3 linked regions of the Nothobranchius furzeri genome follow. The protein of the gene in region 3 purifies or fractionates together with the protein of the main gene of each other region. This does not show direct contact. Links are inferred from orthologs where the notes say so. Each region holds a gene or a part of one and is shown on either strand. Other genes may lie near its edges. The genes, in order: wdr5, kmt2cb and ncoa6.

Region 1 (4,215 bases), on a different chromosome or scaffold from region 3:
CTACCACTCACTGTTTGCTCTGCAACGCTGATGTTTTATCTGCACAACTAACACAAGCCTGAATGAGCTTCTGCTGTGTGGTGGAGTTGCTAATGCTAACGGTTAGCTTCTACCAGCCGAGATGTTCTATGCTGTTTTCTGGACGCTAAACCAACAATAGCCGTCCTCGTCATGAGCCAAGATGGGTGAGCCCATGAATGTTTAGTGACAGTGTAACGTGGATCTGTCAGGATTTTCTAACCCTAGACTTTCACCATCTATTTTCTAGCTAATCCAGAAGATAGGAGACTTTTGTCATGTTCAGCCTGCATGAAAAACCTCAGAGTAACTAAAATAATCATTAAAAAAGGTTTTTCAATGAACCACACCTTAAAACATTCTTACCGAGTTAACGTCCCAGATCTTCAGAGTTTTGTCATCCGACGCAGAAACAAGAAGGTTGGAGTCAGATGACCAGGCCACATCAGATATTCCCTGGAAAATAAAGAAATTCTAAGATCTCAAGGCTTCAAGGACATAAAATGATACAAGAGTAAACAATGGAGTCATTTCTCATGTTTATCTTCTAAAAATGTAAATACAATCTTGTTCTTGCTTTGAACGACCAAACAGATCAGACTCAAAGTTTTTATTATTCACTGCATGTGAATACCCTCTGCTGCTGCATGGCACTCAAATGGTGTGTTTGGAATAACAGAAGAAAAAAAGAACAGATATAAATATATAAACAGAAGTACATGTTTACTAGATATGTAGCAGCAGTAAATGTATTCACTTTATATTAGACTTATTGCACTGGTGACTGAGGTTTTTGCTCTAATGCGCATGAGAGGGTTTTAGTACATTTAGTTTACTGCTGTGGGGAAGGGGATTGTTTGCACCAACTGGACGGCAAGAGTCCAAAACAGTAATGACCAGGGTGGGAGGAGTCTTTGATGTTTTAGTAAAAGCGGTGAAACTCTACCTAATACAGTCCTGCAGGCAGAAACACAACAGTGCCACAGGTAAGGGTCCCTTCTACTCACAAGTTTGTGTCCAGAAATGGTTTTCTCAAACTTGCCATCATAAGCGCCCCAGATTTTGATGAGTTTATCAGCAGCTGTAACACAAACAATGAAAAAGACATCATGAAAAAGAGAAAAAAAATGACTGAAAAGTTGCAAAATGGTAAAAAATATATAATTTCCCCATTTCAATCATTTCAGCTGATCAGATATTCAAATGAAACGAGTGTACCCAAAGATAAATACTAAAACCAATAAAAATTTCACAATTGCATAAGAATATTTAGTCACTAAAGCACTGCTATTATTGTTATTTACATTTAACTTAGAGCACAAAATACACTTCATCTATGCAGTACAAGTGTTTTATCAAACTTTAAAAAAAGCTCTGGATCAAACATAGTTTCACAAAACCCAATACATTTTATTATGGAATGAAAGAAGATTTATGTTGAGGTAGCTGAGATTTAAACAAGATATGATTCAAAATGAGATGCTTACACGAGCTGGCGAGCCATTCTCCACTTGGACTGAATTTAACCGAGGACACAGCCTTAGTGTGTCCCGCTAGTGTGAATTTCAAACTGTAGTTTGGTTTTGCAGGTGCAGTCTGCAAAAGAAAACCAGTTCTAATTTAGCAAATGAATAAACATGATGAAATACTTTCAATAAAGAAAGAAAAAATCCGAAATAATGCTGGAATATTGACAGTCCTTAACAAAAACTTAGAATTAAACTATCATAAGAGGACAGGGTGGGAGATTACAGGCAATGCCAAAACTTGGGTTTGTCAGACCTTGCTTTGGCTAGCAGAGGCTGATGGGACAACTGGAGGCTTGGTGTCAGTCTCTGGTTTCTTGTCCTCTGTTGCCATGGTGAGGAAATCAGCATCTATTGCACCTGAGACAAAAGAAGAAACCATAAAAAAAGTTAATAAATCAGGCAAGTTAAACCTAAAGATTAAACAACTGGGATAAGTTATTGGGTGGAAATTTTACAATTTCTAACACCCGGAATTTTAAAGTTTGGAGAAATAAGATAAACCCTCCAGCTCGATGACTGCTAATAACCACCATTAAGGTAAACGTGATTAAAAACTATTGTTTTATCTGTTAGCATTAGCTTCCTTTACTGTGATCTAAAATAAACAGTGGGGTTTACTTTAAATAAGATAAATTAAGTATATATCATGTAAATTTTACTTTAATTAGGCTTATTAATAGGCTGTGATGCTCAAAAGTATTTAAATGCCCGTTTAGGGTCCGTTTAGCTATAAAATTAGCTAATGCAGCTAGCTGAAGTTAGCTAACGTTAAATTGCTCTTACTATGAAAACCGATTGAGGCCAACCCCCTTGTCCGGTTACCGTTTACCATCTTGTGTTGCCTTCAAATGCATTGACACCAGCTCGTTTTTGCTTCGAATTATTATTTATGCGAAAAATAAAAGCAAACAAAGGGAGAACGAGTACGTTCGCTGTAAAGTTCAACACCTGAATATACTTGGGTTACCTTCGAACAAAACAACGTGAAGATCTATAGATTAGAGGCTGTCTCGCGGAATAAAATGTATTTTGGCATGAACGCCACAGTTATATGAAGAAGCTAATCGCAGTTTTGACATGCAGTTGATGCTGTTGACAAGTTATGCAGCCACGAAGGGGGCCTCCATTGAAACAATGAAGATTCGGTTTTACACCGATACTTACGTTGATCAATTTAGATCTACAGTCAGACTGGTACTCCTTGCAAATCCTGGAAATCTAAAACAGTCCGTATAATAACTAAAGAGAGATAGAACAAAGAACAAATCAAGCTATTTGCTTGAGGATGTTTGCCTGGTAAAGGAACGAGCTGCGAGGTGAAGCGGGGAATGTGCTTACAGTTTGCGCAGGCGCATGACGTTCAAAAGTGACGGGAACTAATGAGGGACAATTATGAAAAAATCGTTTCGACTGCCGTTTGAAAAGAGCCCAATAGTTTTAATTAATCTTATTTATTACAAGTTTGTATTTTTTAAATTTAAAATGACAAAAATTCTCAACAGAGAATTTGTAGAAGTACATTATGTGAAATACTTCATCTAAATTTCAATGAAAGGCAGTAGCCATTTAAAAACCAGGCTGTGGCTGTCAGAGTCAATCAATATGCAAAAAGGAAAAGTCTACATGAAACAGAAACAAACACACAGCAAACAAAAATCTAAATAAAACAAACAAATTACATATCTTTAATACGTCGTAACCTTATTTTATGCTTTATGTAGTTATGAACTACTGACTGTGATATTTTCATAGTAAATCACTTGCATTTATTTATATAACCCTAACCATTTACTTTTTAGCTCAATACTTTCCACAATTATAAATATGATTTTGTGAAATGCAGATTTCACACTTTTACCATAAATCAGCTGTGAACGCGCTTTGGATTCTCCGGCTCAACAGATGGCGCTATGAGCACCAGACCTGTCCCTTCAGCCGTGGCTGCAATAGGTCGGGGAAGAAGTTTCTAGTTCTTTTTGAACACACTGCACTCTGGTGTTCACTAGTTTGTTTTGGCTTCGGTGAGCTTTCTTCCAAGCCGTGCAGCGTCAAGCTCCCATGTCAACACGCCCTCTTAAATGAGTTGGTAAACACTTCTGTTGTTATTTTCTTATTTTTACTCATTACTTAGCGGTTAGCCTCCTCCATAACAACAATAGGTGTTTAAAGAAGCGGACTTCTTCGCTTCGTTATATGATAATTTAATTCAAGCTTATTTATTGGCGCTACATTTTGCCCCAAATTAAAGCAAACGTTACTTAACCAAAACCTGTAGTTGGTATTTCGAAACTTATATCAACAGTCGGTGTCACAAAGTGTGTTGTCATCCGCTGCAGTGTCCCTTACCAAACCAGCTAGCTAACTTTATGCTAACGAACATCGTGCATACTTGTGTTTTTATTTCACGATAAGTATTTGAAACGTTTTAAAGCCAATCATGTCGCTTTGTCCAAACCTACATTTTAATACATTTTGAGTAAAACCATCTCGCTTATTTAGTCATTTAGTCTCATTCGTACATTACGCCACGTTTTTCACTGTAAACGAAAAGTATTTGACGATATCTTCTGCGTCACCGCTTATGAAAAGCTTTTACAAGTTATTTCGGGAATCTGAAATCATGTTGACAAATGTCTTCTAACTTTAAACTGAGCTTTGTCTCGTGTTC
Region 2 (4,075 bases), on a different chromosome or scaffold from region 3:
GCAGATGACAAATGTTCTTTCATACTGAAATCTCCTAGAGTTATATGTCAAAGATTTGGTTTCAAACTAGAAAAATATAATGAATCTGCGTCTAAAGCGTTTTCGCTTTAATGTCATTTACCCAGTGTGTTGGTGCCAGGGGCGTGTCCAGAGAGTGGCCTGGATAGCACATGTCACCCTTGGAATATTATTGGCCACCCTGCTGAGTTCCATTAAAGATAACTACATCATCCACAAAAGGACAAGACCTGGACGTGCCACTGGTTCATTTTTGCAGGTGATTATTTTTAAAATGCATGAAAAATAAAAGCTTTCATTATTCAACATAAAAGAAACATGAGCTTTGATTTAAAAAAATATATTTTTATAGCATATTTACTCTGCAATGGGTCACCCACAGTTGCACTTAAGACATTTTTGAACTTATCCATATTATGATAAAATTTCCATTAGACATATTTTTTATCTTGTTCATTGTTATTATTAGTAGTAGTAGTGGTGGTGTTATATTATTATTATTATTATTATTATTATTATTATTATTATTATTAGTAGTAGTAGTAGAAGTAGTAGTAGTAGTAGTAGTAGTAGTAGTAGTAGTAGTAGCAGTAGCGGTTTTAGGCACGGGCAGACAGGGCAGTTGCCCGGGGCGGCATTTTTTCATGACACAAAAGGGGCGCACAAGCGCTGAGTAAAAAAAAAAGAAAAAAGAAACCTGCGCCGCACCGAGGTTTTCTATTATCTGTCATATGACAGTGTCTGGATTGGAAACAGCAAGTTGGCGCCCCCTGCAGCTGCAGGCGCTCCGTGCACCGTGTGTGTGTGTATGGAGAACAGGAAGGGGAGGGGTGCGGCGGGAGAATTCACCTCTGGGTGGGTCCAAATGAAATGAGCTAGGGGCTGAATCAACTGTATCAACATGTTTAAAGTCGATCACATCTTGATGTTCTTCCATATTTCATTCATAATATCATAAACACAGGCCTATCATTCTTTCAGGTGTTTCTGAATTGTGTGAAATGGCCAAATAAAAAAGGAAAAACAAAACGATTTTGTGTTCACCCCCCCATCAAGGTCAAATAGTTTAGTCCTGACTAAAGGAAACTTATTGAGTCAAGAGCCAAACAGAAGAGATGAACATAAAAAGGCTAAAACCACCAGGTGCCCGATTCAGGAAAAAAAAAAAGAAAAAAGAGGAGAAAGATAAAGGTATGTTCGCTCTCATGATGCATGTTTTCAATTTTTTGAACCAGTTAACTGGGATTTTAACGGTTAAATTTGGTCAACTAATTGCTAACAGAGCTAATAGGGCTGAAATATTTAAACGAATATTCAAATGGTTCGAAAAAATTCCTTGAATCGTTTTTACTGATTCAAACTAGGATTTGTTAAATGCTCACTGCAGCCTGTGGCCCGCCTGAACAACAATAAACACATGTTGATCATGTTCACATAATAATAAATAAAACAACTCTACAAGCAGAAGAGAACTCCCCAGTCACCACTAACTATCCTGTTTATTTATTGCAGATGGCTCTACTGATTATTTTTTACATGATTTGTTCTGTAAAAGTTGGCATTTTTGGTAGTCTACAGTTTTTTTATGTCAGTTTAAATTACAATTTCAGAGGCAATTGTAAAATATTATGGATCATGATAAAGATCTATTGGAGATCTACCCCAACTTTTGGACTGCTCTGCCAGTCACTGTGGCTCAAGCTGAGAGGAGCTTTTCAAAACTTGATCAAGTCATACCTGAGGTCACCTATGTTTCAGGGGCGGCTCATTCACCTGGCTCTGATTAGTATCAATCACTCAGTAGGGGAGCAGATTTCATGTGATGACATTATTGATGACTTTGCATCAAGGTTAGGTTTTAATTTTAGTTTGTGTTTTCTGTTCTAAGTGCAGTGCTGTATAGTGATTATCTTTAGTTTGTTATGTGTTAAATATTTTTGCTATTTAGAATATTTATTATATATTATGTGCATATATTCTTAATATTTAGTTAGTTTAGTTGTTTTTGTATATTTGATTCTATATATTTTGATACAGTGTATAATGTATAGTGCTTTACATTCTGACAACTTCATAGTAATTAATGTAAATATGTGCAACTTAGAAAAATGAATGTTCAATAGTCGTTCTAATAAAACCTGCCTGTTTGTAGAAAACGTGTGTTCGTGCAGGTGGGGCGGTGTGGTGGTGGTGGGGGCGGTTGGGGGGGGGCGCTCAAAGGGGGCCTCGCCCGGGGAGTAATTCCATGTAGAACCGCCACTGAGTAGTAGTAGTAGTAGTAGTGGTGTTTATTTATTCGTTTAAAATTTCGTAATCAAGTAAAAAGTCAATATTTTGCATTGGCCAGCAGGTGGCGCGCATAGCTTAGGAAAGAAGTGCCATGGTTCATGCAAAGAATCGTTGACGTTTACCTACATTATTATCATTAACACTAATAATGTGGGCGTCTCACGAAGGAAATAAATAAAATGTGATTGACTGAGTAATTGAAACGCAGAACTTGTGATAATACACAACATTTTTGTTTATTTCTCATGCATGTGCAGGCTGAAAGACAACCCCTGGGGACCTTTAGGAAAGTTAACCCCTGCATGTGCAGCGTGTCTGGCAGTATGCAGGTTCCTTAAAATGCAATGCCTGGTTTGCAAAGGTATTGTGTGTTGTTTGTGAGTGTACGTGCGCGCGCCCATGAGTTCACGTTTGTTGCTGTGGGGGGTAGGGGGGGAGTGGGAGGGGGAGGGGGGGGAGATAAAATGAGGACGCTGTGGTGTCCCTGCCAGCATGAGGTAACATTGCGCGAGGTCTAAAACACCACCACTAATGCCAACTATCAGTACTCATATTTTTTAAAGAAACCTGGAAAGCTGACAGTGAGTTTCTTTGCTTCTTTTGGGAAAACATTTGCATAAACTGGAGCGTTCATTGTTGACCGTTCCTCTCCAAAAACTCCAGAATCCGCCTTTTCGCACTTACCCTGGCCATTATTTTATTTACTAAATGCTCATATCAATCCGCAGGGTCAGAGAGTATTTTGAAGAAATCGTAAAACGACTTGGGTGCAATTTATTGATGCCTGTGTTTTATCCGTGCGCTTATATATTTGCCAAACTCTTGAAATACTAATTTTAAATAAACCACGACGATGTGAAAATACGTGTCTGCTGTAGTTCTGCTCGGACGAGGTGGATCTAGTTTTTTTAAGAGCCTAGGGGGAGGAGGGTCTGTGCTTCGGTGCCACTTATCATTAGATATGGCCACCGTTATAGAGTACGCCGAAGCGTCATCCTCAACTTAATTTTATGATTTTTCTCATATATTTTTCAGCTCACATCGTTCGGCGGACACACTGTTATTTTGGGCAAGCTAATGTTTGTTTCTACACGTTTTTGGAGCCGGTTGTTACTGCGTGGCAGGCTGGTTGCGAGAGTCTCCTAACTGGCCGCTTCTGCTTGTCGCAGCTGAAGAAAATAGAACCAGTTGCCAAGCCAGCGGTCGGAACCGAACGTTTCCTTCTCCTCGTCGTTACACGTTCCTCAAGAATTTGAAGTTTTATCCACCGATTGGTTGCTCTTCTTTTTTGACAGCCACATGTGTTTTGGCTCTTGTTTGTTTTCATGTTAATGATCAAATTTTTGGGTGGCTAACATCAACTAGCTGTGTTACCCGAACTCGACAGCTGTCATTGGAGAAAAAGGAAAGTGATCTCCGCAAATGCCAGTGAAGCGGTTTTCTTTTGGATTTACATCAACGGCTTTTCCATCAAATGGGCAAAGTTGGGAATATCATTGCAACGCTGGGATATAATGATATGCGCTGTGCATTTTTGAGAACTGCGGTCTTGTTTCATTGGAGAGAAGCTAGCTGCTAGCTGGCTGGTTGATAAAACGTTTCATCCCCCCATTATTTTGGGACATGAAGAGGACAATTCGCTGTCCATAGGGCTGGGAAGGTAATATACAATGTCAACTTTCATTTCTTTTCATGCAAGCTTAGATTTAGCCTGACATTGGCCTTTTTAGAGAGTCAGAGCCAACACTATCTTCCATTCTAATGCTGA
Region 3 (4,163 bases):
AATACAAAATATCAAGTAATATTTATGTTAAACATTGTTAGAAACAATGCAACACAAAAATTCACATGAACCAAATAAAGATGAAGAAATTTTAAAATAAAATACAAGCTTACTGTGATGAAAGTTTGGAAACCTGCGTGTTAATAATATGTTAGAAGCTAATGGCATATAAGGGAATTAGCGTTAGCGTTAACAAGCGTTGATATGACTTCACTGTCGCCCAGAATATTTTACAGAGGATGTTTTTCTGCTCAGCATCAGACTCCTTAAACCTAAACCAGGCCAGTATAAATTATGTCTTCGTCTTCTCATCAACTTGCTCTGCGCTGAAGCTGCTGCTGCTTTCGACAGCATTCATGTGTGATCACGTTTGGACAGTAAAGCCAAAATCTCTACTAGTAGACTAGAGTACTGTTAATTTTTTTGTTAAACTTTTGGAAAAACTTACCTGGGCCAGGCTGACCTGGAAAGCCACCATCCATTCTCATCTGACCAGGTGCACCAATTGGTCCATTCACTCTGACTTCTTGTCCTCTGTTTGGTCCCACAGCCACATTAATTGCTCCCTCTCCTGAACACCAAGATTAAATCATTGCATAAATGAATTTTTATGAAGACAAAAGGAGGAGATCTGCATGAATTCTTTTTGGACTGAGCTATTACCTTCTATTTGCACAGAGAGAATACCCAGGTCTCTGAGCTGCTGCTGGTTGTTTTGGGCCAACAACCGGAGTCGCTCAGCAGCATCCCGGGGAATGTTGAATGTGACACGGACACTGTTCCACGGCTCAACATGTTTAGGCTGCAGCCGTTCTGGGCCTAAAATAAAGTGTATTTAGTTAGTGTTGGTTGGAAAATGCTTAACAGGTCAGTGCAAGATATATATTTTTGAATCAAATACACGTAAATGAGCTCAAATAAAACAAAGTAACAAAACAAATTGAATAAAAATAAACACAAACCCAAATTAAGAACATCAGGTATCCCATTGAGGATAGTTTCTAGTTTTTGAGTGAAGTTCTCATCATCCATGTTTCCTTGAAAGGCAACAAAGACTGTGAAGTCCTCCTCTCCATTTTCTCTAGTGTCTTCTTGCTCCATGGGTCCAACTTCTTCTGTTACGTTGCATTTCTCAGAGCTATCTGCGTCTTCTCCAGAATCTTCTCCAACACCAGAGTCTCTGTCCGATTCACCATCAGGCTCCATGTACGCAGTCTTCTGGGATGAGGAATGTTCAGCAGCTATCCTCCCTTCCTTGTTAGGAGTGGTGTCTAAACCGTTTTATGCTGTAATTACAGATTATTCAAACTTTAGATTACAGCATTTTCTTATCAAATACTATTATTCCATACTTTGCCTATCTCAAATGTATGTACTGCCCAGAAAAGTCTATGGTATTGATTAATTTAATAATTATTTGATAAATTATGCTTTTTCTATAAACTGTTTCAGCTTAAAGTAAAAAGCTGCTTACGCTATGGGTTCCCAATTTTCTACAATTTCGTAGAATGCATTTAAAATGGAAAGTTTTGGGAACATAACAGCTCATCTTAGAATATTTTTAATTTCCCATTAATATATTGAGACCTTCGACAGTTCTTAAAGAGCAAGTCACCCCCAAATCTACTTTTTTTTTTGCTGATAAACTATATAAATGTGTGTCTAAATGTGCTGCAGACACGTGTAGTCAATAATTTGGTACTTCAGTGCATCTTAGTTAAAATTGAAATATTCTGCCTAAAACTGTCAATGTTGCGCCGTTGTCAGGTAAAAACTCTGCACTGCATTTGAATTTAAATCTGCCACCGCTATTGGCTAAGAGGTATGCTATGATGTAAACTGGTACATTATGATGTCACAGTGCCGTTGTGAGCCTGTGTGTGTGTGTGTGTGTATTTGTTAGTGGCTCCGCCCTCTCGGTCTGCTAGGCAACAGCATTTGTTGCATTTTTCAAACATGAAGAGGGAGTGAAATAAGTTTCTTGTAGGGGGTGACTTGCTCTTTAATTGTTTTAGAAACCCTGAACACAGCCAAGAAACAACAGTTATAGTAAGTTGCTAGAGGCTGAAGAGTATTCTATATAACATTCGATTCGAGTAAAACAAAGACAAGCAAAAAAAGTCATAATTTCTATTTGCAAACCAGAAAAAGAAGCAAATAAATGAGTTTGTAACTCAATGAAGCAGACACCTGGAGGTGACATCACTGACCGGTGATTAGCTTATTAAGCAGAGGTGCTCTGATTGGTAGTCACATTACTTTCAGAGTTGTGAGATTTCTTGATATGGGAGTTAAACTTGTTAGTAATAATATAATATATTTTTATAATGATGATCATCCTGGTTTCAGTCACCGGCGCTGCAGGAGTGTGGGCCTTAACGCAGTAAGCTAACATTCAAACAAAATCCACAAGTAAACTCTGTTTCTTACCAAATTGTGCATTTTCATCGTGGTGCAATTAACACTTACATTTCAAATGTATACGTTTTAGCAGCACACAGAAAGAGTGAAATTGAAAGTGGTTCCTATTGGTTTTCCGAAAAATCCTGTTAGCATCAGTTAGCTATGTAGCTAGATGTCAGTCTCCAGACGCGAATGAATCCAAGCAGCGAACCGTAGCTGGTTTAATTTGCCTTTCAACAGTTTTCGTTAATAAAAACAAGGAGAAAGGAATATACAAAGACCTTACCAAACATATCCATATACGAATACGTTCAACTAGTCGACATCTGTTTGCTAGACAGGCTAACAAAATAGGATGAATGTCATAAGCAAGCTAACTAACAAAGGTTGTTTCCGGTTTTCTTTTTCAAAATAAAAGCTCAAAAGGTAAACGCACTCCTTAGGTTAACAAGTTCATGACTATTTCCTAAATAGTCCTGAATAAACTGAGCTGTTTTATCTATTTTTCAAATTGTATTAAATGCAAGTATGATGACAAATTGCGGAACACTGCTTATGTGGGTATGTGCAAACATTTTTATTTCACAAATTTGAACAAAACCGATTTTTCCTTCAATTATAAACACAAAATAATCAAACATCAGGTGTGCAAATGTGTGCATTAACAGTACACAAGACAAGACTCTAAGATTAGAAACCTATTTGATCAATTTAGTGTGAGAGAAAAACGTGTTCGATTTTACTTCTATTATTCCGCTTAATTGCACCAAAAACACATGACACCCATCCCGAAGAGTTCCAGGCTGAATATAGATTTTAGGAATAAAAACATCTACAGTCAAACAGTGATGTAAAAATTGATTTTACATTAAACTGTTTTAATTCCCATTCAGAGAACAAGGGTGACCCTCTCTCAAATAATTCTAATGATTTTCAAGAAAAGCAGCAAATAAACCACTAAAACTATATTAAGAATGCAAAAAGAACAGTAACAATATAAGAAATACTTTAAAATCAATAAAACCATCTCAGTAAAAGTAGTAAACCAAGATGTGGAAATCACATTCCTGTTAAACATCTCTGTCTGGGTATGTTATCACCTAACATGTTCTCAAAAAGAAGGTAAAACTCCAGCAGCTGTGCAAGACAACATAATCACAGTTACATGCCACACTACAAGCAAGGGAAGGACAGTTAGACAAAGACAAAGCAAGTCTCTTCACTTGTCATCTAGCAACATCCTTGGTAATATTTGGAATAATTGACAAAAAACATTAAAAAATAAGTTGACTGTTAATGCATGTACTGCACACTATGCATTTTTTTGTACATTTTACATTATTGGTTTATGATTTCATTTATTGCTCAATAATTTACCTCTGAAATTCTGACTAAACAGTGATAGAGAAAATACTCTCAAACATTCCTCTCATAAGTTCAGCAATTACATTATTTCATTTGCAGCTAACTTTAGTGCCACTGCTGGGTGGGCTTTTACTTTGAAAACCTTGTACCGTGTGACTCGAGCAAACAGATGTGAGGTGAACTCACAGAAAGCTAAGTGGATTTTTATTTAAATGGCAGTTTGCTGTGAGATTTTGATGACTGTAGTAGTTTGATCATTTTTATTCCACCTTTTCTTCTTTCACTAGTATCCTACGAGTTTGATCCCTGCTGTAATGTGAGTGAATACTGGAAAAAGTGATGGATGCACTAAGGTGTGTTGGAAATGGTGAGGGCAGAAGCATCAGCACTACGTG

Evidence for each region.
Region 1: the proteins of ncoa6 (region 3) and wdr5 purify together in Homo sapiens (co-immunoprecipitation; 10 studies listed by BioGRID and IntAct, counting the BioPlex papers as one, with this or other methods). This does not show direct contact. The link is inferred for Nothobranchius furzeri from reciprocal best matches to the Homo sapiens genes NCOA6 and WDR5.
Region 2: the proteins of ncoa6 (region 3) and kmt2cb purify together in Homo sapiens (co-immunoprecipitation; 7 studies listed by BioGRID and IntAct, with this or other methods). This does not show direct contact. The link is inferred for Nothobranchius furzeri from reciprocal best matches to the Homo sapiens genes NCOA6 and KMT2C.

Annotation. Positions count from the first base shown.
Region 1 is NC_091746.1:41,695,429-41,699,643, reverse strand, and holds the start of wdr5 (WD repeat-containing protein 5), read right to left. Parts: upstream 2,899-4,215; 5' UTR 2,712-2,898; intron 1,905-2,711; 5' UTR 1,879-1,904; coding exon 1,801-1,878; intron 1,615-1,800; coding exon 1,506-1,614; intron 1,100-1,505; coding exon 1,026-1,099; intron 475-1,025; coding exon 385-474; intron 1-384.
Region 2 is NC_091751.1:52,963,807-52,967,881, reverse strand, and holds the start of kmt2cb (histone-lysine N-methyltransferase 2C), read left to right. Parts: upstream 1-1,188; 5' UTR 1,189-1,209; intron 1,210-3,740; exon of another isoform or gene 3,741-3,967; intron 3,968-4,075. UniProt on the Homo sapiens protein: Histone methyltransferase that catalyzes methyl group transfer from S-adenosyl-L-methionine to the epsilon-amino group of 'Lys-4' of histone H3 (H3K4).
Region 3 is NC_091755.1:60,747,719-60,751,881, reverse strand, and holds the start of ncoa6 (nuclear receptor coactivator 6), read right to left. Parts: upstream 2,819-4,163; 5' UTR 2,690-2,818; intron 1,287-2,689; 5' UTR 1,207-1,286; coding exon 963-1,206; intron 820-962; coding exon 664-819; intron 572-663; coding exon 449-571; intron 1-448. Other genes in the region: glutathione hydrolase 7, read right to left, coding at 4,117-4,163. UniProt on the Homo sapiens protein: Nuclear receptor coactivator that directly binds nuclear receptors and stimulates the transcriptional activities in a hormone-dependent fashion. Coactivates expression in an agonist- and AF2-dependent manner.